Linked DNA regions of Rhinolophus ferrumequinum. The protein of the gene in region 1 purifies or fractionates together with the protein of each later gene. This does not show direct contact. Links are inferred from orthologs where the notes say so. Each region holds a gene or a part of one and is shown in the gene's direction. Other genes may lie near its edges.

What was found.
Region 2: the proteins of PPP1R15A (region 1) and EIF2S1 purify together in Homo sapiens (affinity purification with western blotting; 4 studies listed by BioGRID and IntAct, with this or other methods). This does not show direct contact. The link is inferred for Rhinolophus ferrumequinum from reciprocal best matches to the Homo sapiens genes PPP1R15A and EIF2S1.

Annotation. Positions count from the first base shown.
Region 1 is NC_046298.1:44,264,174-44,275,092, forward strand, and holds PPP1R15A (protein phosphatase 1 regulatory subunit 15A), read left to right. Parts: upstream 1-6,483; 5' UTR 6,484-6,752; intron 6,753-7,455; 5' UTR 7,456-7,464; coding exon 7,465-9,807; intron 9,808-10,222; coding exon 10,223-10,573; 3' UTR 10,574-10,657; downstream 10,658-10,919. Other genes in the region: PLEKHA4 (pleckstrin homology domain-containing family A member 4), read right to left, coding at 149-364, 957-1,066, 1,218-1,318, 1,407-1,479, 2,901-3,008, 4,106-4,189. UniProt on the Homo sapiens protein: Recruits the serine/threonine-protein phosphatase PPP1CA to prevents excessive phosphorylation of the translation initiation factor eIF-2A/EIF2S1, thereby reversing the shut-off of protein synthesis initiated by stress-inducible kinases and facilitating recovery of cells from stress.
Region 2 is NC_046289.1:29,309,720-29,321,170, reverse strand, and holds the start of EIF2S1 (eukaryotic translation initiation factor 2 subunit 1), read left to right. Parts: upstream 1-6,285; 5' UTR 6,286-6,426; intron 6,427-10,864; 5' UTR 10,865-10,865; coding exon 10,866-11,106; intron 11,107-11,451. Other genes in the region: ATP6V1D (V-type proton ATPase subunit D), read right to left, coding at 736-853, 5,615-5,655. UniProt on the Homo sapiens protein: Member of the eIF2 complex that functions in the early steps of protein synthesis by forming a ternary complex with GTP and initiator tRNA. This complex binds to a 40S ribosomal subunit, followed by mRNA binding to form a 43S pre-initiation complex (43S PIC).

The DNA of each region.
Region 1 (10,919 bases):
CCAGCAAGTCACACTCGAGCAAGAGAGCACTAAACCCGCCCCTAATAAGTTTCAGTCCTTGCCCTTCTCTTAGGCCACGCCCCCAATAAATCTTTCCCCCTGAAGCTCAATAGAACTGCCTCATCCCAGATTCCCTCGTCCAACTCACTCCGGGCTCCTCGTCCTCTGAATCCCGGGTCCAGATTGGAAGTCGGCTGTGGGGCTGGGAGTGCGCACCCCAGGTCGGCCACGATCTCTGGAAAGCCGAGCCACTTCCGGTGATTCTAAGCTGCGCCCCTCTTCCCCTTTGCTCACCTCCGGGGGGCCACCGGGGCCGCCAGGGCCCTCCCCAGGCTGGGGACGCGCAAGTGACTTGGGTCGCCCACTAGCAAGTGGGCACAGAAAAAGGCATCATTTCTCTGAACTTCATAACAGCTCTTATTCTAATTTCACAAATAAGGACACAGGGACCCATATAGCAAAAAGGGGAGGTGGTTCCCATTTTTCAGATGGGGAAACTAAGGCCCGAAGTGACCTTATGCAGCGTCACAAGGTCCGTCAAGGTCACCGAACCCAATGCCTCAAACCATGAATCTCCAGCCTGAAAACTGGAGCAGGCCGGGGCAAAAACTGTCTGAAGCCTTTCCTTTTTTTTTTCTTTTTTTTTTTTTCATCTGACGTTGTTTTGGTGGCAACCTGGCGGGGCTGTAGACTTCCGAGGGAGTCAATCAGAGAGTGTGAAATGTTGATTGGGGGGCTAGACAAAGAGATGGGCGGTGCTTAGAAGGAAAGGCTTTTTGTTGATTGGAAGAGCTGAAGTTCTTCTAATGCTGGGGCCTGAAAAGCCGAGTCTTCCTAGTAGCTAGAAGACTAAAGATTGGATGTTGAGGTGCAGGGCCTCGAGGGGCGGAGTTGGGGGGATGATGAGACTGACCCAAGTTGGAGGTACAGGGTCAAAGGCGTGGCCTATAACTCACCAATCATCCCCCTCCGCACGGGAGGCCCGGCCCAGGGCGCGGAGCCAGCCCCGCAGGTCCTCTAGCGTGTCAGCAGCCAAAACGTAGGTCCTCATGCCCGGGTGCTCCGCCTGAGGGAAGACAGAGCTGGGGACCTGGACGCCTCCAAAAGGGAGGATGCCATCGACCCTGGCCAAGATATTTTATCTTCAATAATGGATGCTCTGATGCCTGTCCCCGTCACCCAGTACCTTAGTGCCCATGGGGGTTGGACGGACTCACGGTGAAGGTGAAGCGCCGCCCTCGGGGGGCTCCTGGTCCATCTGGCCTGATACTATAGCTGGGGAGCAGAACGCTGCCCAGGACGCTCTCCTCGCGGCTGTCTGCGAAAGAAGGGCTGGGGTGAGGGATCACAGGGGATCTGAAGGGCTAAAGGAAAGGGCGCCCGCCCCATCCAGCTGGAGCACTGACCCTTGTAATAGAAGAGGCAATGGCCGGAGAGGACGAACCAGCGGCGTTTCCAGAGCCGAAGCCCAGAGCTGTCCTAGGGAGACAGAGTGGGAGGAGAGACCTGAATAGAGGGGAGAGGAAAAAAGGAGATGGAGACAGTGACGCTTGGAGACAGAGACCCAGAGAGATGGAAGGAGCAGAGACACGTGTTTGATACAATAGATTCAGGTGAACTGAAACAGTGTGCTGTGGTTGAGAGGACATAGATCCCAGACACAGTCGGACCTGTGTTTGACTCCACCACTTTCAAACTTCCCCTAAACAAGTCAATTCTCACTAGGACCCTCACGTTTTCTCGTCTGTCAACTGGAGGTTGAGAAGTTACGGGGAAGGCTGGAACACAATACTGTACCACACGTGGGCAGGGGCTATATATATGAAGACTTGGTCCCATTACTCTGGAGCCTGAGACACAGAGAGGCCAGGAAATGGGCACTGAGCTGCTGCCAGAACCAGTCCATCCCCAACCTTGTGCCCCTCTTCTCTTCAATAGGTTTCCCCTGGAAGCAACAGGATCTTTTAAAATGATAAATCAGATCATGTGAGTCCCTGCTCAAAACAGAGCTTACCGTCAAACTTAGAATAAATTGCAAATTCCTTACCCTCGTTTACTGGCTGACATGGAATCTCAAACTTGGGAGTGCATAAAATTCACCAGGAGGGCTTGTTAAAACCAGATTCCTGGGTCTCATCCCCAGAGTTCTGAAGTCAGTAGATCTGGGGTGGGGCCTGACAATTCTCCTTTCTAGCAAGTTTCAGATGATTCTGACACTGCTGGTCTCGGACTGCACTTTGAGAATCGCTGCTCAGACGCCCGTCCTCTCTCTTCCCTTGGCTTGCTCCAAACACCCAGCGATGGCCTGCTGCAGAGCCTTTTGCTTTTGCAGTCCCTCTGGCCCCAGATCTTAGCATGATGAGCTCCTTCTTGTCACTTAGTTCTCAGCTCAAATGTTATCTCCTCAGAGATGCCTTCCCCGACCACAGTCAAAGGCAGCTCTCATCCTCTCAGCCACTTTCGAGCACATCCCTATATGATTTCTTCACAGCCCTTCTCAACACTTCCTACAATCTGCAATCACTTATTTTATTTCATATATTCTAATTTTATATTATGTAATATACATATTATATGTTATTTCATTTATTCCAATTATGTTTATTAATTTGTTATCCATCCCCACTCCACCTCCATCTTGAATGTAATACAGATACTTGCCCTATTTGTGTGACGTGTGTCCCAGGGCTTGGCACATTGTAATTGTAAATAAATGTTCAAGAAATGGTCACTCAATGAATGAATGAATGAATGAAACAATGACAGAATAAGGGGAGAAGCAGTGATAGCAAAAAAGACCAATTTGGAGACTTGGAAGGAGAGAAACAGCAGACAGCCCGGGACACAGCCTCTAACGAACGTCACTTGGAGTGTCCTTTCCCTTCTCCTGCTCACTCCACCTGCTTATGCAGCCAGCCTCGGATGTGCACCGGGAGGTTGGGGTCCCTCCTGAGCGCATTGCCCCTCTTCCCGAAGGTGTGCACCTTGCTTACTGCCCGGGTGGACTTCTGAGGAGAGAAGGAAGAGAGAAGTGAACAGGACACCCGATGGACTTGGGGAGGTGGTACAGGGGACCCCCTTGCTGGACTGCCCAGAGAAACCAGGTCAAGGAGGGAGCTGAGTTTTCAGATCAGAATTGGGTATGTACAGTGCAGCATTGAAAGACACTTTTTATGGGTGGAGGGAGGTGTTTGGAGGCAAGGAAGAGGCTACTGGCTGACAGAGAAGGAATTTGGGAATCAAGCATCCACTGCCAAAGAGAGGACGCCCTTGGCCACCAGAGCCAGAGATGTGATACAGCCTTTGGGATCTGAACTGGAAATACTGCCTGAGAGGTCCCCATAATCAGGAGGGACCTCCAAGCTGAGTCTCTGGTGATGGGTCAGCCAGAATCAAAGGACGCTTCAGTGCCAAGGAGTGATATCCTTTAGCAACCATGTCCCGGTAGAGAGAGGCTCCAAATCCCTCCATCCCAATAGCCAGCATCCCCGCTTCTTTGCAACTCACCCCCCGGGATGCCCTTGGGGATGGTGTGACCAAGGTCAGGATTGAATCTATGGATTCTGAACTTGGGGAAATGGAAATGAGTGACAGGAATGACAGGAGGACAAGAAAATGAGTGTCATCACTGAACTATGGGCTGGAGTGATGATTTGGGATGTAAGTGTTTCAGGCCTCATGGAGCCTTATTGTCAAAAAGCTCTTTCCTTGTCAAATTTCAGAATTGGGTAGATTGGATGGCTAGAGATAAGACAGGGAGTTCTCAGTCCTAATCCAGAGTAGCCACTGCTTCTGAGTTCCTAGGGGGCGCCTCATGGCTGGGGAGTGGCCTTAGGTTAGCAACCAGAGTCAAGCAGGGTTTTTTACTCTGGCTTCAAATCAGGAAAATACAAGGGGTGGGAACAGCTGGAAGTGCCTCTGAATTCCTAGCTGCAGCTAGTAGGCAATTTGGGACCTAACTAGGTCTGGCAGGCCCCGTTGCTAAGGATCCTTGCTCTTAACAACCAGAGTCCCTGGGGTGGCACCGAACCCAAAGCTAGAAAACAGGAGGATGGGGCAGCCCAGAGCCCTGCCCTCCTCCCCAGCCCCAGCCAGACGCTCCAACCTTGGTGTTCAGGCTGCTGAGTGAGGAGATGGTAGAGGCGCTGCTGGCCAGGCTGAGGCTGCTCCGAGGTCTGCCCTCCTCCATCAAGGGCTTGGGGAGAGAAAGAAAAGGGCTGTGTGCATGTCTCTGCAGCTGACCCGGCTGGGGACAGAGACGGGGTCAGGGGGTCCCAGGTCGGAGGAGGCTGAGGAGAAAGAGCCTGTTGTTTGGGGACTGGGGGGCTGGGGAGGCCCTGGCCCAGGGCCACATACCAAGAGTGATGCCAAGAGAGGTGGGCGGCACTGGCAGCTGCGGGTGGGGGCAGCTGTCGGCAGCCCAAGACAGAGAATAGGGGCTCCTTTATTCTTGCCCCCTGAGCTCTGGCAAGGAATTTGACCCTCTGTGCTTAGGGATCCCCCCATTCCCTGCCTCTTTCCGGCTGCCCCCAGCTACCTGTCTCTTGCCCTCCCACAAGCAACCCTGAGACATCCCTGCCAAGCCCTGGGGCATCAGGAATGCACACCCAGACAGCCCCTCCCAGCCCAGCCAGGGAACTTACCGGCTCTGGGGTCCCAAAGACAGGGGACAAGAGGGCAGTGTGGGCGCTGGGGCACCAGCCACAGCCTCCCTCCTCTGTCTCTTAGGTGCTGCCTCTCCTAGGCCTCAGTTTCACTTATATGCTCACTCACTCTTTTTGTCTTTGTCTCTTGTCTCTATGGTCTCTCTTCCTCTCACATTCTCCCTTTCTTTTAGTCTGTCTCTGTCTCCAGTCTCACTTTCTGTCTCTCTCACACACACACACACCCATATCATTTTCTCTCCCAATCTTTCTGTTTCTGTCCAAATCTTTTTCTGTCGAACTCACAGTTTCTTCCTTAAGTCTCTGTCTCATTCTCTCTCTCTCTGTCTTGCCATCTCTCTCTCTCTCCCTCCCTCACTCAATCTCTTCCTTTTTCTTCTCTCTCTCTCTCTCTATGGCCCTCCACATCTGCTGTTTCCTCCTCTCCCAGGTTCTCTTCACTTTCTCCCTTCCTCCCTCTCCCAGTTTCTCTTTCCTTCTGCTGGTCTTTCCCTCGGTCTGCCAGCCGCCCACGCTGCTGTCTCCCCTCCCAATCCCCGCTGACCCCGCCCCTCTTGGCCTTCCCACCACGGCCTGACCCCTGGCTCAGCTGCCCCCACAGGAGAGGGGAGGGGCTGCTCCCCCAACTCCTGGGTCCCTTCTGGGCTGGGACAGGGAGAACCAGGATTCCATAAGGGATGAGGCTGATTATCTTAAATGTTGGGAGAGTAGGAGCTAGGCCTCCAGATCGGGGCCCCTGTGTGCTAATTGGGGTCAGGTTCCTGGGTCATTGGGACCTAGAATGGAGGTTGCTTGGATCTTGGAAGGGGTGGGGTTTCAGACTCCTGAGTACCTGGGAAGGTGTGAGGAGGACTCAGGACTCCCGAGTTGTGAATGGAGCCTGGGGTCTGGAAGTGTGGCGCTGAGTCCAGATCCTCCAGGGAGGAGGAGTGGCCCTGGATTCCTGGATTCTGGCTGGAGCAGGGTCCAGTAGACATGGTCAGATCTCCACCTCAGATGCAGGTGAGAATTCTGTTTTAGACTGAGGCTGACCCTCTCAGGAGGGAGACATGGTTACTGGGCATATTTTGAGGAGCAAAATTATGGACCAGGGAGGGGGATTGGGCTGGGGAATTGGGACCATGTCCTTGGGTCTGGATCTTGTGGCAGACATCCTGCTCCCTTGAGGTTCAGTCGATGCCACCCACCCAGAATTTCAGTTTGTGTAAGCAGAGCTTTTGGGCGAGTCCGAGTTTGAAGCAGGTGAAATCCAGACATGGAGCCTTGTGCATGAAGCCCCGATGGGGTCTGAGCTTTTGGTTTCCTGTCTACTCACCAAATATTTGTTGAGTATCCACTATGTGTCTGGCACTGAGAAGAAAGCAGTGAGCAAATCAAAGGGCCTGCCTTCAAGATGCTTAACATTGTTCTCATTTGTAATGTACCTGGACTCAGCTGTGACCATCTTGAGCAGGTGACTTCATTCCCAAGCCTCAGTTTCCTCATCTGTGAAATGAAAACAGCAAGACTCTTCCGCAGGGGGAGGGGGGGCGGAGAAGCGGACCAGATGTGAAGGTGCGAGACTCTAGACGGGGGCCTGCCGCTTAAATTGGGGTGGGAAAGGCATTTGTCCAAAACAAGGGCTGAGAAAGCTCCCTCGGTGCTTAAGCCACGTTTGATTGACAGCTCGCTTGTTTCGGGGCGTGACCAACTTCGAAAGGCTGCGGTGACACCACAAAGCCGGAATCCCCGCGAGAATTCCCACCTCATTTTCCCTTCCTGTTTTCTCACGTCTTCGTTTCGAAAACCCGCCTCTCCTCGTGACGTCAGCACGTCCGGCCGCGTTAGATTATAAAACCCTTGCGGGCGGTGTCAGCCCTAGTTGGATCGGTTCCTAGTCCTGTTGTTGATCACATGCGCCATCCTGCACGACCCCGCGCCCGTTTGTCGCGACAGCGCTCGCAGCGACCGGTGATAACTTGAATCCCTGATCCCGACGCCGGAGGGCGAGATGAAAGCGCTGGCCTCCCGAGCCGTCCGGACCTGCGATCGCTTGTGGCAGCCCGAACCGGCCCTTCTGCCCCCGGGGTGACGCGCAGCCCCCAGCCGGTGAGTGAGGGATGAGAAGAAATGGATCCCCAGGGGTTGGGGGCTGGGGATCAGTCTCCTAGTCTGTAATGAGGAGAGAACTTGGTACTTCTAGGTACTGAGACAGGAGGGCTCGGGGCTAGGATTCCTTGGTCCAGAGGAAGAGGGCCTGGGAGCCTGAACTCCTGTGTCTGGGGAGGGGTGGGACGGAACGGACGCCAGGGCTCCAACTTAGGCTGTAGAGGAATTGGGAGCCTGAAGTGCTGAGCCTGAGGGAAAGGGGTCTGGGAGCCAGACTCACCCCCAGTGAGGGACCATTGGGAGAGGGGAGGAGTCGGAATTTTTGAGTCTCCGAGGGAGGAAGGTGTTGCAGGCCTGGTTTGTCAATCCTCAGGAGGATAAGAGAACCAGGGACTGGGACTTTGTCCCCAAGGGGAGCAAGTACAGGACCTGTGTTCTTGATTCTTGGGACTAGGACTTCTGGAGCGGTCTGGGGGCTTGGACTCTTGGGTCTAAGAAAGGAGAAAATGGGGACCCAGACTTCTGGGTATTGAGAGGAGATGTGGGAACCCAGGGACAGAGATGGGAGTGGCTGGAATCAGAAAGGAATGTGGGCAGGGACTCTCATGTTGCTATTTGTGTACTTCTGTTGCTATGACTCAGCAGTCATCCCCTGATGCTACTATTTCCTAAATGCCTTCTAAACTTTATTCCTTTTTCCCAGCCCAGACAAATGGCCCCACGCCAAGTGCACTATCAGCTCACCCCCTGGAGGGATGCCCACCCCTTCTTCCTCCTGTCACCACTGATGGGCTTTCTCAGCTGGGCCTGGAGCCGGCTGAGGGGCCCAGGAGCTCCAGAGCCCTGGCTGCTGAAATCAATAACAAGCGCAGATCAGGGAGAAGCTGGCCTGGAGGGAGAAGCTAAGGCTTCTTTGGCTGCCCACTATGCCCCCTGGGGCAGGCACCCTCAAGGGGAGGCTACTGAAGAGGATGGAGAAGCATCCTGGGGCGCCCGCCCTGATCTGAAAGCCAACAATTCTCTTCTTGAAGCCTGGGGACTTTCAGATGATGAAGACTATGGTAGGGAAGAAGCAACCAGTGTCCCTAGGGAGCAGGGAAGTGAATATATAGATGGCCAGCCTACTTTCCTGTCCCCCAGCCTTTTGAGAAGAACCCTGCGAGGCCCTCCTGGGGAGGAGGAATTTGAGGAAGGAGGAGTTGCTGAAGATAAAGTGACCACATTCTTCTCTTTCCCTCCATCACACTGGGGGTGCCACCCAGGGGTGGAAGGGGAGGAGGAAGAGGACAGAGAAGCTGTAAACAAAGAAGCTTCCAGAACATGTACTTCCACCTTATCTCTGGGACCCAAGCCCAGAGCTTGGGCGTATTGTGCAGGGGAGGAAGAAGCTTGTGCCAAGGAGGAAAAAAGAACAGAGAATAAAGAAGTCAGTACGCCCTCTATTTCCCCTTCATCTGCAGGCCCCTACCCCAGCACCTGGGAGTGTTGTTCAGAAGAGGAGGGAGAGGAGGATGGAAAGGCTGAGAAAAAAGCTGACCTAGGGCCACACTCAGTTCTAGCCCCGAGGCCCCTGCTCAGGACCTGGCAACATCAACCCAGTAAGATCACAGAGGAAGATGATGAAGAAGATGAGGACAGTGTTTCAGGGGAAGCTGAGGGTCTGTCTTCCGACTCACACACAAGCACCTTCTTGAGGGCCTGGGTGTATCGACCAGGGGAGGACTCGGAGGAGGAAGATGAGGACAGTGATTCAGGAGCAGCTGAAGAAGAGGGAGAAGCTGAGGGTCCCTCTTCTGCCCCTCCCACAAGCACCTTCTTGAGGGCCTGGGTGTATCAACCAGGGGAGGACTCGGAGGAGGAAGATGAGGACAGTGATTCAGGAGCAGCTGAAGAAGAGGGAGAAGCTGAGGGTCTCTCTTCTGTCCCTCCCACAAGCACCTTCTTGAGGGCCTGGGTATATCGACCAGGGGAAGACTCGGAGGAGGAAGATGAGGACAGTGATTCAGGAGCAGCTGAAGAAGAGGGAGAAGCTGAGGGTCCCTCTTCTGCCCCTCCCACAAGCACCTTCTTGAGGGCCTGGGTGTATCGACCAGGGGAGGACTCGGAGGAGGAAGATGAGGACAGTGATTCAGGAGCAGCTGAAGAAGAGGGAGAAGCTGAGGGTCCCTCTTCTGCCCCTCCCACAAGCACCTTCTTGAGGGCCTGGGTGTATCAACCAGGGGAGGACTCGGAGGAGGAAGATGAGGACAGTGATTCAGGAGCAGCTGAAGAAGAGGGAGAAGCTGAGGGTCTCTCTTCTGTCCCTCCCACAAGCACCTTCTTGAGGGCCTGGGTGTATCGACCAGGGGAGGACTCGGAGGAGGAAGATGAGGACAGTGATTCAGGAGCAGCTGAAGAAGAGGGAGAAGCTGAGGGTCCCTCTTCTGCCCCTCCCACAAGCACCTTCTTGAGGGCCTGGGTGTATCGACCAGGGGAGGACTCGGAGGAGGAAGATGAGGACAGTGATTCAGGAGCAGCTGAAGAAGAGGGAGAAGCTGAGGGTCCCTCTTCTGTCCCTCCCACAAGCACCTTCTTGAGGGCCTGGGTATATCGACCAGGGGAAGACTCGGAGGAGGAAGATGAGGACAGTGATTCAGGAGCAGCTGAAGAAGAGGGAGAAGCTGAGGGTCCCTCTTCTGCCCCTCCCACAAGCACCTTCTTGAGGGCCTGGGTGTATCGACCAGGGGAAGACTCGGAGGAGGAAGATGAGGATGAAAAAGATGATTCAGAAACAGCTGACTCAGGGCCAAGTTCTTCCCTTCAGGCCCAGAGTGCCCTCCTCAGAGGCTGGGCATATCCATCTGGAGAGGAGACAGAGGGAAAGGAAGCTGCTGAGGAGTGGGAGGAAGAGCCCCACCCCTTCCGAGTGACCATCTATTTACCTGGAGAGAAGCCACCACCTCCCTGGGCTCCTCCTCGGCTGCCCCTCCGACTGCAAAGACGGCTCAACTCCCTCAAGTCCGCAGAAACCACCACCCAGCATCTGGACCCTGAGACCCCCCAAAAAGCCAGAAAGGTGGGTGCTAAGAGCTCAGATTCTTGAGTGTTGGGGAGGAGGGGGCTGCGAGCTGGGACTCCTGGTTTCCCCATGTGTTACAGAGGGTTGCATGTGAACTCCCCTGGGAGGGCTGTGTTCACTGTAATGTAATCCTTTGCAAGAGGCTGGGCCCCCATGAGAAAAGGAAGCGGCTGTGACTCATGTCAGCCCCAGAGAATGTCAATCCCAGAGACCTCTACCACCTTCAGTGAGTCAGATGGAGAGTCCAGTGGCAGGCAGGTGACTAAGATAGCAAGCATCTTCGTGTTACTAATTTTGACAGACAACTAATTTTGTCTGGTTCTCTCTCTCTCTTCCCCCTCTCCCCTTTGGCCCTGTGTATCTTATGTCTGTATTTCTGTGTCTCCCCATGTCTGTGCCGGTCTGTCTCCAGGTACGCTTCTCTGAGAAGGTCTCCATCCATTTCCTGGCTGTCTGGGCGGGACCGGCCCAGGCTGCCCGCCGGGGCCCCTGGGAGCAGCTTGCCCGGGATCGCAGCCGCTTTGCCCGCCGAATTGCCCAGGCCCAGGAGAAGCTGGGTCCCTGCCTCACCCATGCAGCCCGGGCCAGGGCCTGGGTACGCCTCGGGAACCCTCCCCCTTCCCTGACTGCCATATCTGCCCCTACCCAGACTTTGCCCACATCCACTGCCCAGGCCATGGCCTTGAGCCATGCTGTGGCCTCTCCCTCCCCTCTTTATGTGTCCCTGTCTCCTTGCCTTGACCTCAGTGGGAGACGTGGCTAAGGTCATGTGGTTTGCGTGTTATTAACTATTTATTTTTTTTTTACCAGTTGGTTTAAGAAATAAAGCCTTTTGATTTGTAGTGAACAATGTCACCGTATGTATCTGAATTGACAGTGTCTACTACTCCTGGGTCCCAGAAGTAGTTGGGGGTAATAGCATAAAGTGTCTTAATAGAGGATAAACTACATTTCCCATCATCCTTCAAATTTGCCTCCTCGTCCTGAGGCTCCTTTTGAACAAGGATGGTGAGTTTTGTAGTTTTTCTTTGGCTTTCACCTGAATTTTATTAAAATGGGGACAGTTATCTCCCCAAGGGGATTGGGAGCTGGACTCACTGATCTCTAAA
Region 2 (11,451 bases), on another chromosome or scaffold:
TCTGGTCAGATAAGTCAATAAAATGGAATGGAGAGGTCAGAAACAGCCCCAGATCTGTATGGGAATTTGGTAATGTATAGAAATCATTTAACTGGCCATTTACTTACAAAATGACAAAGTTAAATCCCTACCCCCTCACATCACACCAAAAAAAAAAAAATCAGAACGTATTAAAGATAATTATTTTTAAAGCTATAAAGTAACAAAAGAAAATATAGTAGAACATGATCCTAATCTTTTTAGGCCTTTCTAAGCATTGTATGTAACCCAAAAGTTATATAAAAGACGAAGAGATTTGACCAAATAAAAATTAAGATAACATTTTTTTTAAAGTTAAAAGATAAGCAAAAGACTTGGAGACAATATTTTTAGCATTTTATATACTAACTTGAAATATATAGAACTTCTACAAAAAAGTAAATTCACCAAGAAAATCAAATTACCCGTAAGCACAACAAGATGCTCAACCTCACAAAAAATCAATAGTGCAAATTAAAATAAGATACCAATTTTAGCCCGACAAATTGGCAACAAAAAAAAATTAAGAGGAAGGAGTTTGGATTTTATTGTATTAAGCTATGTGCAACTTGGTACTTTATAATGGTTATTTTTACTTTTGAAAGAAAAAAAATTCATTAAAATAACTTAAAGGAAAATTAAAATGTCAACAAGCCATGTTGGATTTTCCTGAGATATTTCTAAAATAAATACTGTTCTAAGCAGAGTTCACTCTACCTCTATGATCTTCTTTAGGATCTGTCGAAATCGAAGAGTTAAGGCATCAGATTTCTTCTTTAGGAGATTTCGACCTGTCTGTGCTCCTTTTAATCGAGCCTTCATGATGGTCTGTGCCCTATATAAACAGTTAAAGGCATTTACTCCCCTTGTTTAACAGAAATAAAAATACCTGCCCAATACAATGTTAAAATTATGCTTTGTTCTTTGATGTCACGAGAATAAGAATATATATAGCCTTTGTACCTGACAGGCTTCACTGATTTCTCAATACCGTGGAATTCCACTCTCAGTGTTTCATAAATGAGAAGGTTATTTAAAACAGAAACAATTTTTTAATCAATATATGGAATAAGTATTTATTAAATTATAATAAAATCTATCATGAGCCCTATTTTATGATGTCGGCATAGTTTACTTATTTGATGTGTAAGTTAAAACAACACCTGTATTTCCATTAGAGGCATATTAAAGATTTAAAAAATAATCTGTCCACTAATATATATTAAAATTTGAAATGTTCTTACCTTCAGGACCAACAATTCCACTTTGAGGAATTTATCCTACAGATTTACTCCTGCATGTGTACAAAAACAATACACGGTGTATTCCAGCCTTATTTGTAATAGCTAAAGAGTGGATACATGTTAAAAGTTCCATAAATCATGGTTCATTATAAAATGGATATGCAGCCATAAAAAAAGAGGAAGGCAGATCTCCATGTGCTCTTTCTATTATATTTATTGTCTTAGCTATGCAAAGTAAGGGGTAAATATGCTTACACAGATACAGAGACCTGTTCTCGAAAGGATTCACAGAAACTGCTAACAGTTTCCTTTGAGAAAGGGGGCTGACTGAGAAAAAATAGATTTGCTTTTTATTATATTGTTTTGTACCTTTGGCATTTTATTCCACAGCCAGTTACTACTTTTTCTGTTAAAAGTGTGGCATTAAACACCTGGAGATTTTTTTTTATTGGAAGGAACATCTAATAAGACACTCTCCAACCTCACTGGAAGGGACCTTATCAGGCACCTGACTGCGAAGAGTCATTTACTCCTGTCTACGGAAATCAGACTCCTCAAGGACGAGAAACCACCGACACCAGAGGTAGACAGCTGTCCCAAGTCACTGACAAGGCCTGTGTACCTACAGATAGATGCTGAACTCAGAATCAGTTCTGTTTGAGTGTATTTACCTGTTTGCTAATGAAATGAGAGCCATAATAATAGTTATACTTGTTTTTTGGGTTTTTCTATATAGTCCAACTATTTATGATTCCTCAACAAGTATAACTTAATACTTTTCATGGATTATGTAAATGTTATTTTAAAGAGCAGGGCATTATAGTATTTTTGATATCAGTCAAGACTCTACTACCAATCATTTTATTAATTTGCAAATGACTTGATATAACAAATTAGGTAACAAATGACTTTAGGTAACTTGTCAATGACATATATAAGTAATGACTCCTGAGAAGTGACAAGAAACTCATATCTCCTTACCTCCTTATTTCAGTCTTTCCCATCAGAAACCCCAATACCAAAGTCGAGAAAGCAACAGCAGAAATTGACATTTCTCTTCTTGCTACCATATGCCAGATAAAATTTAATAATGGGGGGGAAAAATGGGTAATAAGATTCAACAATAGATCGTGTAACATAAATACTTAAAGTGATTTGTTTAAAGAGATTTAATTTCATACGACTAGTGTTACAACCAACTGCAAAACAGTACATATTAATGGACTTTTTGGCTAAATTCTTAGATTATATTGAAATCTTTTACCACTGGGCAAAGGTTACTGAGATAATTCTATAGCTGGAAAGGACTTCAGACATTATCCTGAAAGTTAGGAAAATGAGGCTCAGAAAAGTGAAACAACTTTGCCACAGCTACTTAGTGAAGAAAAGGCAGAGCAGAACTTGAACCGGATTTTTGACTCCAGTGATTGCCCAAGGCTCATACTAAGGCTCAAACTTAAGTCCACTGTACCCCAACATGCCACACTGCCTCCCCTACAGATTAAAAATACCATCAGATGAATAGTTGTCTCTCTAGCTGTCAGTGACTGACTCTGCACTGACTGGACCAAGTGAAGCTGGTTCAGTTTCCAGCCTAAGCAGGAGCTAGCCACCCCAATGTGTACATTTAAACACACCGTATTGTTGACACTAACCACCAGAATTTGGGCTCAAGGAGTCGAATCAAATTTAAGTCTAACCCTAGTACTGCAGATTCCAGCAAGTTCATAGTAAAAAGGCAAACTGGTTGATGAAATTGAATTTAACATGCTAATTTTGATTTTCTCCTAGGTAATGGCATCTCTGCGAAATAGGTCAATTTTCATTCTTGAGACTTGAAGAAAAACAACTTGACATACTATACTTACAGCCCTTGTAAGTATAACCTGGATTTGACTGACTTCTGTTGACTCTATTTGATTCCCCCCTAAACTTGTTTTGCTCTCTCTGGTGCCTAAGGAGGTGTCAGCCTCATTTCACAGGATAACACTGGAACTGTCTGAAACAGAAGTCACTAATGTATTTTCTAGCCTAGCTCTTAAAACATCTGTTCTTTCACAAGTTTCAGAACTGCTAAATCCTACTGAAAAGTGTTTGACCTTCAGCTAGGATAATAACTTTGTTTCCAGCTGAATCAAAGACATCTGACTGCATGACAAAGTACCTGCTGCTAAGCCTCTGGAAAATATTTAGAGAAGCAGAAAATATTTAGAGAAGCGGGTTACTTCCTGCACCTGATTTTCCTCTCAAACAGCAAGCTGAGTGCACTCAAATAGCAATTTCCACCTTCACAAACCTATCATTCTTCTTGTCTAAGGCCAAATAAATTTATTTTCACCTCTCAGTCTCCAAGTGAAAACAAAAAACTGTTAACATTCTGACTACAAACACAGCCAAATATTAGTTAAAGCGTTGAAAACAGGTTTTATTCAGTAACCACTGACAGTAGGGGGAAAAGAACTGCACTCCATTCCAATTTGTGCAGAGAAGACTGGGCATGTTAAAGGAAGAGTGAGGGAGGGGAGCTAGAAGGCACTCAAGGGGAGTCAGAAGTGAAAAATTACGAAGGGTTGGTCAGTGGAAACGGGATTAGGCCAGCTGTGTCCACTAGCTGGCCATTATGGAAGGTAGGATTCCTTCCTCCCACAGAGAATGGGAGATGAAGGCCCTATCCTTCCTGATGACTACATTTCAAAGAAATCGTTTTCAGGTCCTTGAGAAAGACACTTCTAAATTGTAGGAGAGGTATATACATCTCAAAGGGAAAATGAAGAATTCATAATTGTAAGTCCTTTTCAGTAAATGCCCTAAGAAAGGGGCCTATCGTCAGGTGTTGGCTAGAACAGTAACTTCTGACAGCAGCTGAGCTTTCTCAGGCAGACATATTACTGGAGGCTGGGTCATCCTAAGAACACAGCTTAAGCTTCCTAGAAGCAACGCTGGAGTTTGGCTGTCTCTGGTGCAGAGGTCTGGCAGGACTCAATCATTAAGGGCTGGAAATTCTGCAGTTCTCACTACCCCAGGGTAGTCCTGACCCTTATCTATTTTACAGGCATTACCTTTCTCCACTACTGCCTTGATTCCCACCTACTACAAACTGCTATTAGAAAGTCAGTAGGTAAAGTTAAAAAATAAACCAAAAGCCCAAACCCCTTCATTTAATTAATAGCTGTAGCCACGTAGGCAGAGACAGAAATTAAGGTTTGGGCTTTGAATATACTTCTTTCATTTTAAAAGTCCTCAGATTCTCTGAGAAAAAGGTCAGCATGAAGAAAAACAACAATACTCCCAAAGAGATAGGACCACAATCAAAAGATCTAAATGTCAGAGCCAAAACTGATTTTCTGCTCTTCACTGGGGGAAATAAAAAAGAGGAAAAAGGAGGAGGGGGCAAATAAGAACAATCTTTTCTTTCCACACATTGTTAGGTACATTTGAGAAAACCTCAAAATATTCTTTAGAGACTTTCTCTTTAGAGAAAACCTCAAAATATTCTTCAAACACCTAGGGCGACATGCTATTTCTCCTGCCAAAAAATTCAGTCCAAAAACGAAAGACAGCCCACGTCGGAGCAGATTCCAAGACAAGAGTTCATTCAAGGAACATTTTTTTTGTGGACAGTCTATGGAATCATGATCAAGACGCTCCGATCCTGCAGAAACCTCACAGTCCAGGGGGAAAGGCATGTAAACAAATACTATTCATTTTTACAAAGTGATTAATGGGTGATATTAACAGAGGTCTGAACAAGGTGCACGGTGGTAAGAGAGCAAAAGAAGTGCCTGAGAAACTGAGGGGTATCTTCCCACCGCAGGTGACATTTCATGAGATCTTGGAAAATAAGGGGATCCACGATTGAATCTAACGTCTACGCTACAGCATTTCGATTCAACCCCCATATGGCTTAGAAGTCTCTTCTATACACTTCCCCCTGCAGAAAACTTCCCTTCTCGATCCATTTATCAAACCTCGTTGGCTTATCCATCTCTCCGCTAAATTGAGTTCTGGTCAGGGCACGAGTGGTGACGATTCGGTTACATACATCCAGTGCCCGGTTCAATAGGGAGTGTGGAATGAATGGCTCGATTGAAGAGTAAAGTCAGCGGACCTCCACAAAAGCCAGCAGGCCGGGTGTCTGTTCCTATGGGCTGGGACCAGTCTGGTTCACTCAGAGGAATGTGTGAGGGGGCCGTCACAGAGCCTCGCCCTAAACTCACGAAGAGAGACTGGGAAGCTCAGGATCCGCCCAGAAAACCAGGAACCTCGCTGCTGGTCCCGGGTACGAAGGAACCGCGGCTCGGACCCGGCGTTCCTGAGCCTATGACGGATGCTCGTCCCGTTCTTTTACTTACATTCGCGAAGGAAAGATTTCAATTCGATCTTTGCCCGACATTCTGACGATGACTCTGTGGCTCGGGTCCCCGGCCGGGCAATCGTAGCTGCAACAGACCCAGCCACAGCGTCTTCCTTTACCGGAGTCAGCTGGCTGTGTCACTTGACACCCCGCGCGTTGCTAAGAGGCAGCTGGGATATGCACCCGCCACTTCCGCTTCCTGTTGGTACGTGGGTTTGGGGGTGGGCGTGGGAGGAGGGAAAAAGGCCTAAAGCCGGCGATGCCCGGATGTTCAGGCGCGCGCACCACCCAACGGCACCTCAATTCCGGTCAGCTTCCTAGCCCCTCCCGCTCCAGCTCCCCGGCGGCTGCGCAAGGCTCTGCGCGTGGGACGAGAGAACGAGAGAGAAGAGTATACTCTTTCTCTTCCTGCGCTTGTCATTTTTGGTCACAGCGCCACCTCATGGTTGGCAGAAGCTTTGAGAGAGGATTTATTCTTCAGGAACAAAGAATGAGAGTTCTACTTCTCCCTGCGCCTTGAAGGGTTACTTACCGACAACTAACGGTAGCGAAAAAAACGTACTTTTCAGGTTCTCCTGGGATCTTCCTTCTTCCTTGTTCCCGGAGGACCCGGACTCTATGGTCAGTGACGAAGAGGGCCTCTATTCTGTTGGCGCTTGCGTGAGACGAGGTGGTTCCGCATGCGCGGTAGGGTTGAGCGAAGCGCACGCTGAGGAGGATCGGCGGCTGCTGCGGGTGGATCAAGTCTGATCTCTCGGATTAAAGAGCGCGGCGCGGGACCCCACTGCGGGATCCACAGACATACCTCGGGTAACTAGTCCCCTAGATCGGTTTCTCGAAGAACTCACTTTGGTTGTGTGTAGTGACATGGGTGGTCGAGAGAGGGTAGGCCCCGGGCTAACACCTCTCCCGTCCCTGGGCGAGAAGTGTCTGGACACCACCGACACCCCTGGCGGGCTCCGTGTCGGTCTTCCCGAGTTGCAGGTGGCGTTGTACGAGCGGAGGCACCTCGTGAAGGAAAATGGGCCAAGTGACTGTACAGCCTCTTCAATATGCTTAAAGTTGAGGACTCCTTGCGGTGGGGCGGCCTCGGGAGAACGCTGTGACACTCCTGCACCAGGGCCGAGCGCTGCTCCTTCCCGGCCTGAGAATTCCATCCATCGTTTTTTTGGTTTTGTTTTTTGTTTTTTCCTCTTGCGCTCCAGCAAATACTACCTCTCCGTGGAAACCAGACCGTACACTGCAAGGGACCAGTAGGATGGATCACAGTGTTGACAAAAGCTGTCTCACAAAGGGCCCAAGAGCAGTTTATTCGATACTTTATTTTTAAAAATTGAAGTTCGTTTTACCTTAGCGCTCGAGTTGGGCATTTCTGTGGAATGAGTCACTCCTTGAATTGAAACTAAAACATACTTTTAAAGAGTTTATTACGCTTCGCGTCGGTTTGCTGTATTTCAGCACCGGTGAGAACAGACTTGTAGTATTACATGGTGTGGTCTTACAGTTATGCAAAACTGAAAAGATGGGGGAATTTTGGGGTTAAATACTAATATTCAGCCTGAGGTCTTTTTTGTTACCCCCCCCCCAAAACTTAGGCTACTTTAATGTTGATTAAACAGGAAACATTGTTTCTTGGAGAAAAGATGTAACAGAAAAGTCTGTTTTTTCTCCCGATTGAAGTTGTTATTTAAGGGAAAAAAGTTGTAACTCTGTCTTTCAACGGTGTGGAAATTACTTATATGAGTAGAACTTTACTGCCAATTCTCAGTTCATCTGATGCCAAATGACAATTACTAATTCTCAAAACATCTCAAAAAGGTGCACAGTAATGTTTGTAGATATTGGTGTTTCCTATTTCAACTACAGTGAAATAGTTTGAAAGCTTTGTTGTGTAGCACTCCTATACTAAAAACTAGGATGCAGAGAGCTTAAGTGTTAGAGCTTAATTACAGTTATTGCAAGAATTGTTTCTATCACATAATGCTTTACTTTGGAAAGGGATGTGGATTTCCTGTATCCATTGTGGTGACTTGACCATGCGCTGGTTGTTTTTTTGCTGGTTGTTTTTTTTGTTTTTTTTTTTAATTGGGGACTATTGGGAAACTGTGTTTCTCCAGGGCCCATCAGCTCCAAGTCATTGTCCTTCAATCTGATTGTGGAGGGTGCAGCTCAGCTCCAAGTCCAGCCATGGTTTTCAATCTTTGGTTGCAGGGGGAGCAGCCCACCATCCCATGAGGGAATTGAACCCGCAACCCTGTTTTTCAGAGCTCCTGCTCTGACCAACTGAGTCATCCAGCCACCCCAGACCATGCACTGGTTTAAGAAAGAAGTCCTACCTACCATCTGACAAGGCAAAATTACTGACAATGCAGGTTATTTGAAATTAACTTGGAGTTCAGTTAGTGTATTCTGAAAAATAGGTGTTCTTTACCAAAGAACACATACTGCATTGTAGTACTCTGACATATTGAGGCTCTGAGGGTTAAAAATATTCTGTATTTAATGTCAGAAGACTTGGTTTTAGTTCCTGTTCTCATACTTAAAGATTTGTCCTTAAGGAAGTCACTTAATTCTGGTCCTTGGTTCCCAGTTAATTGATCATTTCACTGTGTTCCTTTCATAATACCTTATATTGCAATTATTTGCTTATTAGTTTGTTTCCCAGTCTTTACTTAAATTTTTTAGGTAGTAGTCTTAATTGTATCAGTAGTGCTTAGTGCATAGTAGATACTAAAAAATGATTTTTTAACAAATCAAGTAACAAATGGAAATAATACTTCCTTTGCCTTTTAATTTCTTATATTTGTGTAGCACATTATACTTTCTAACTGTTTTTACATGCATTTTTGTTTCATGTGATGCTCTCCACAAATCTGTGAGGTACATGCCACAGACTAGAAACTACACTTCAATGGGAATACATTTCCCAAGCAACCACAGCTACGTAGTCAGAGCCAGGACTGGTACCCACATCTATAGCTATTCCCAAAGTTCACTGAGTCTTGACGAGGACTTACTGAGAGCCAAATAAAATAAGTCAAAGTGCTTTGAAAGTTATATAAATGGCCAATGTATACCTAGCTTGTGGCTTCTATTTTCCTGACTGATTTTTTAAAAGTTAGTGTAATTATTACCATAAATAAAGAGATATGTTCAAAATCTATCAATCAACAGGCAGGTTGTTTGTGAAATGTATTCTTTTTGTACTTACCGGCTATTTTCTGTCTTTACTGTAAATAACATCAGCAGTATTCCTTTATTTACCCTACATATTACAAAGAGACTTATACTTCCTAAAGCTGTAACATTTATAGCTCCCTACAGGGTTCTTTTACACTATTGTCTGTTTTCTTTAACCATCAAATTAAGCCTGCCTTCCCCAAAATCATCAGCTTTACTATTTGAAGAAACTTGATAAGTAAATGTGGTTAACACATGTTAAAGCTCTTAAAACTATTTCACACATTTTCATGGCATCATTTATTTTGATACTCAGTTTAAAACATTTTTAGCTCTCAAATTTTAGTACTTTACAGATATTCGACGAGCTTTTTTTTTTAAAAAAAAGCCCTGTTTAAAAATGAAACAACCAGCTCAGCTGTTTCTTGGTGGGTCATTCTGGCCATTGTCTACTTTCCTTTATTTGCTAAATTTCTATTTTGTCAAGCTACAAGAGAAATACATCTCTGTCACTGTTACTAATACGCTGCTTTATTTTATTTTATTTTATTTTATTTTTTGGTTAAACAGGATAGATTAGTACTGAAAGTTTTCACTAACTGTGGTATTCATTGCTCCAGCATTGGATATGTATGTTAATGTTGCTTTTTGTTTAAGATTTTCTGATTGTAATATATTTATAATATTGAGAGAAAATATAGCCTGATGAATAGTACACTATGGTTCTTCATAGGTTCAAATTCTGACACTATCACTTTTTAGCAGTATATAACAGAACAAGTTGCTTAACCTGTGCTTCATTTTCTTCAAATATAAAATGGGGAGAACTAGGGAGAAAGTGGTACCTCAGGGAGACAGGCAGTGGCCAGATCATATAAGACCCTGTAGGTCATAAAAAGATGTATAAATCAGAAGCCACTGGGAAGTTACATACGGATGCAGTTAGCAGTTCTCAAATCACACTGCAGCAGAATTCCAGGGTTCTGTGAACTGGGTGTGGATGTTTTATCTTTATTTCCCAATTATTAAGAAAAAAATAAGTTAGTGATTTTTCACAAATTTTTCATAGGCCTTTAGATCCTATTGCCTGTCTTCTGAGCTTTGACAACAGTAAACTGGTTACGGTTAGCAGAAAAACATGAAAATCATCAACTATGATTAGTTTGAGAGCTTCCCTTTAAAAATATATTTCTACTTATGGTATGATTTCAGGATTGTGGATCATAAAAGGAGTGGTGCTGAAAGTAGGTTGGGTGGATCAAAGGGAATAGTTTTAAATATATATATACTTGGCAGTTAAGAGAAACTTGAACTTTATAGTAATGTAGATCTATAAAGCTATTCTCAAGATTTAGTATACTTATTCAACAAAAGAAAAGAATATTTGGGAGTAATGGGAAAAGTAGAAACTAGAAATTATGGTAATTGTGAATTAAATTCAAGTTTGTTTTAAGAGGGGGAAAAAAATCTGAGAATACGTTTTGGTTAAATTTAATACCTTTCCTGATTAATAAACTTTTAGTTTTTGTCCTGTCATATGATACTGTAATTTTGGCTATACTTACTTATAGGGTGTATCCTTTAATATATGGTTAGGGTTTAAGTAATCAGAAGATTCTTCCCTTTATGTAATGGGTAGTAGCATTACAGTCCTAGCTGATTTGGAGAAAGAACAGCTTTAGAATTTTCTGATAGGTTTATAATAGTAGTGATGCTTCCCATCATTTGTTATTTCTTGAAGTGGTGGTATTAAAATGGTATTTTACTCTTAAGGTGTACCTTTAATCTTTAGGTCTCAGAGGTTAGTTGTACTTTATAGATGGTCATTACTTTTTATGATTCCTCTGAAACTGATGGTAGAGAATCATCCAAGCCTTACAAAAGTGTGGAGCAAAATAAAAATTAAAGCTTGGTTCCTGAACATTATCTGTTTTCTGATACCATTTAAGAAGTTTAAAGAGGTGAGAAGACTAACAACTGCTCACCTTCTGGCAAGATGTAGAAAATGGACATTTCTTTATTTTGACTTTAACTGAGCACTTACTTTATTCTTTTGTTTAAATTTCAGAATGCCGGGTCTAAGTTGTAGATTTTATCAACACAAATTTCCTGAGGTGGAAGATGTAGTGATGGTGAATGTAAGGTCCATTGCTGAAATGGGGGCTTATGTCAGCCTTCTGGAATACAACAATATCGAAGGCATGATTCTTCTTAGTGAGTTGTCCAGAAGGCGTATTCGTTCTATAAACAAACTCATCCGAATTGGCAGGAATGAATGTGTGGTTGTCATTAGAGTGGACAAAGAAAAAGGTAAGTGAGAAAAGTATCTAAAATACAAATTTCAGATTTAAATTGGTTTACAGTAAAATATATTATTTGTAAATTGCCTACGGCCGTAAAAAAACAAACTCCTCCTTTTATACCTAAACTCTTTTACGTACAAAGTTGTTAGAGAAGGATGCCAATTAGCCATCTAAGCAAGATCTCTTAGTAATGGTTTAATTAGTGCATCCCAGGACTAGTTTTTATTATTGGTCAGATAACTTGAATTTTATTTCCAGAGGAATTTTCCATTTAATATTTTCAGGCCATGGTAATTAAACAATTTATAAGTTTTAAATTGCATGGCAGTCTGGGTAACATGGTGAAATCTCT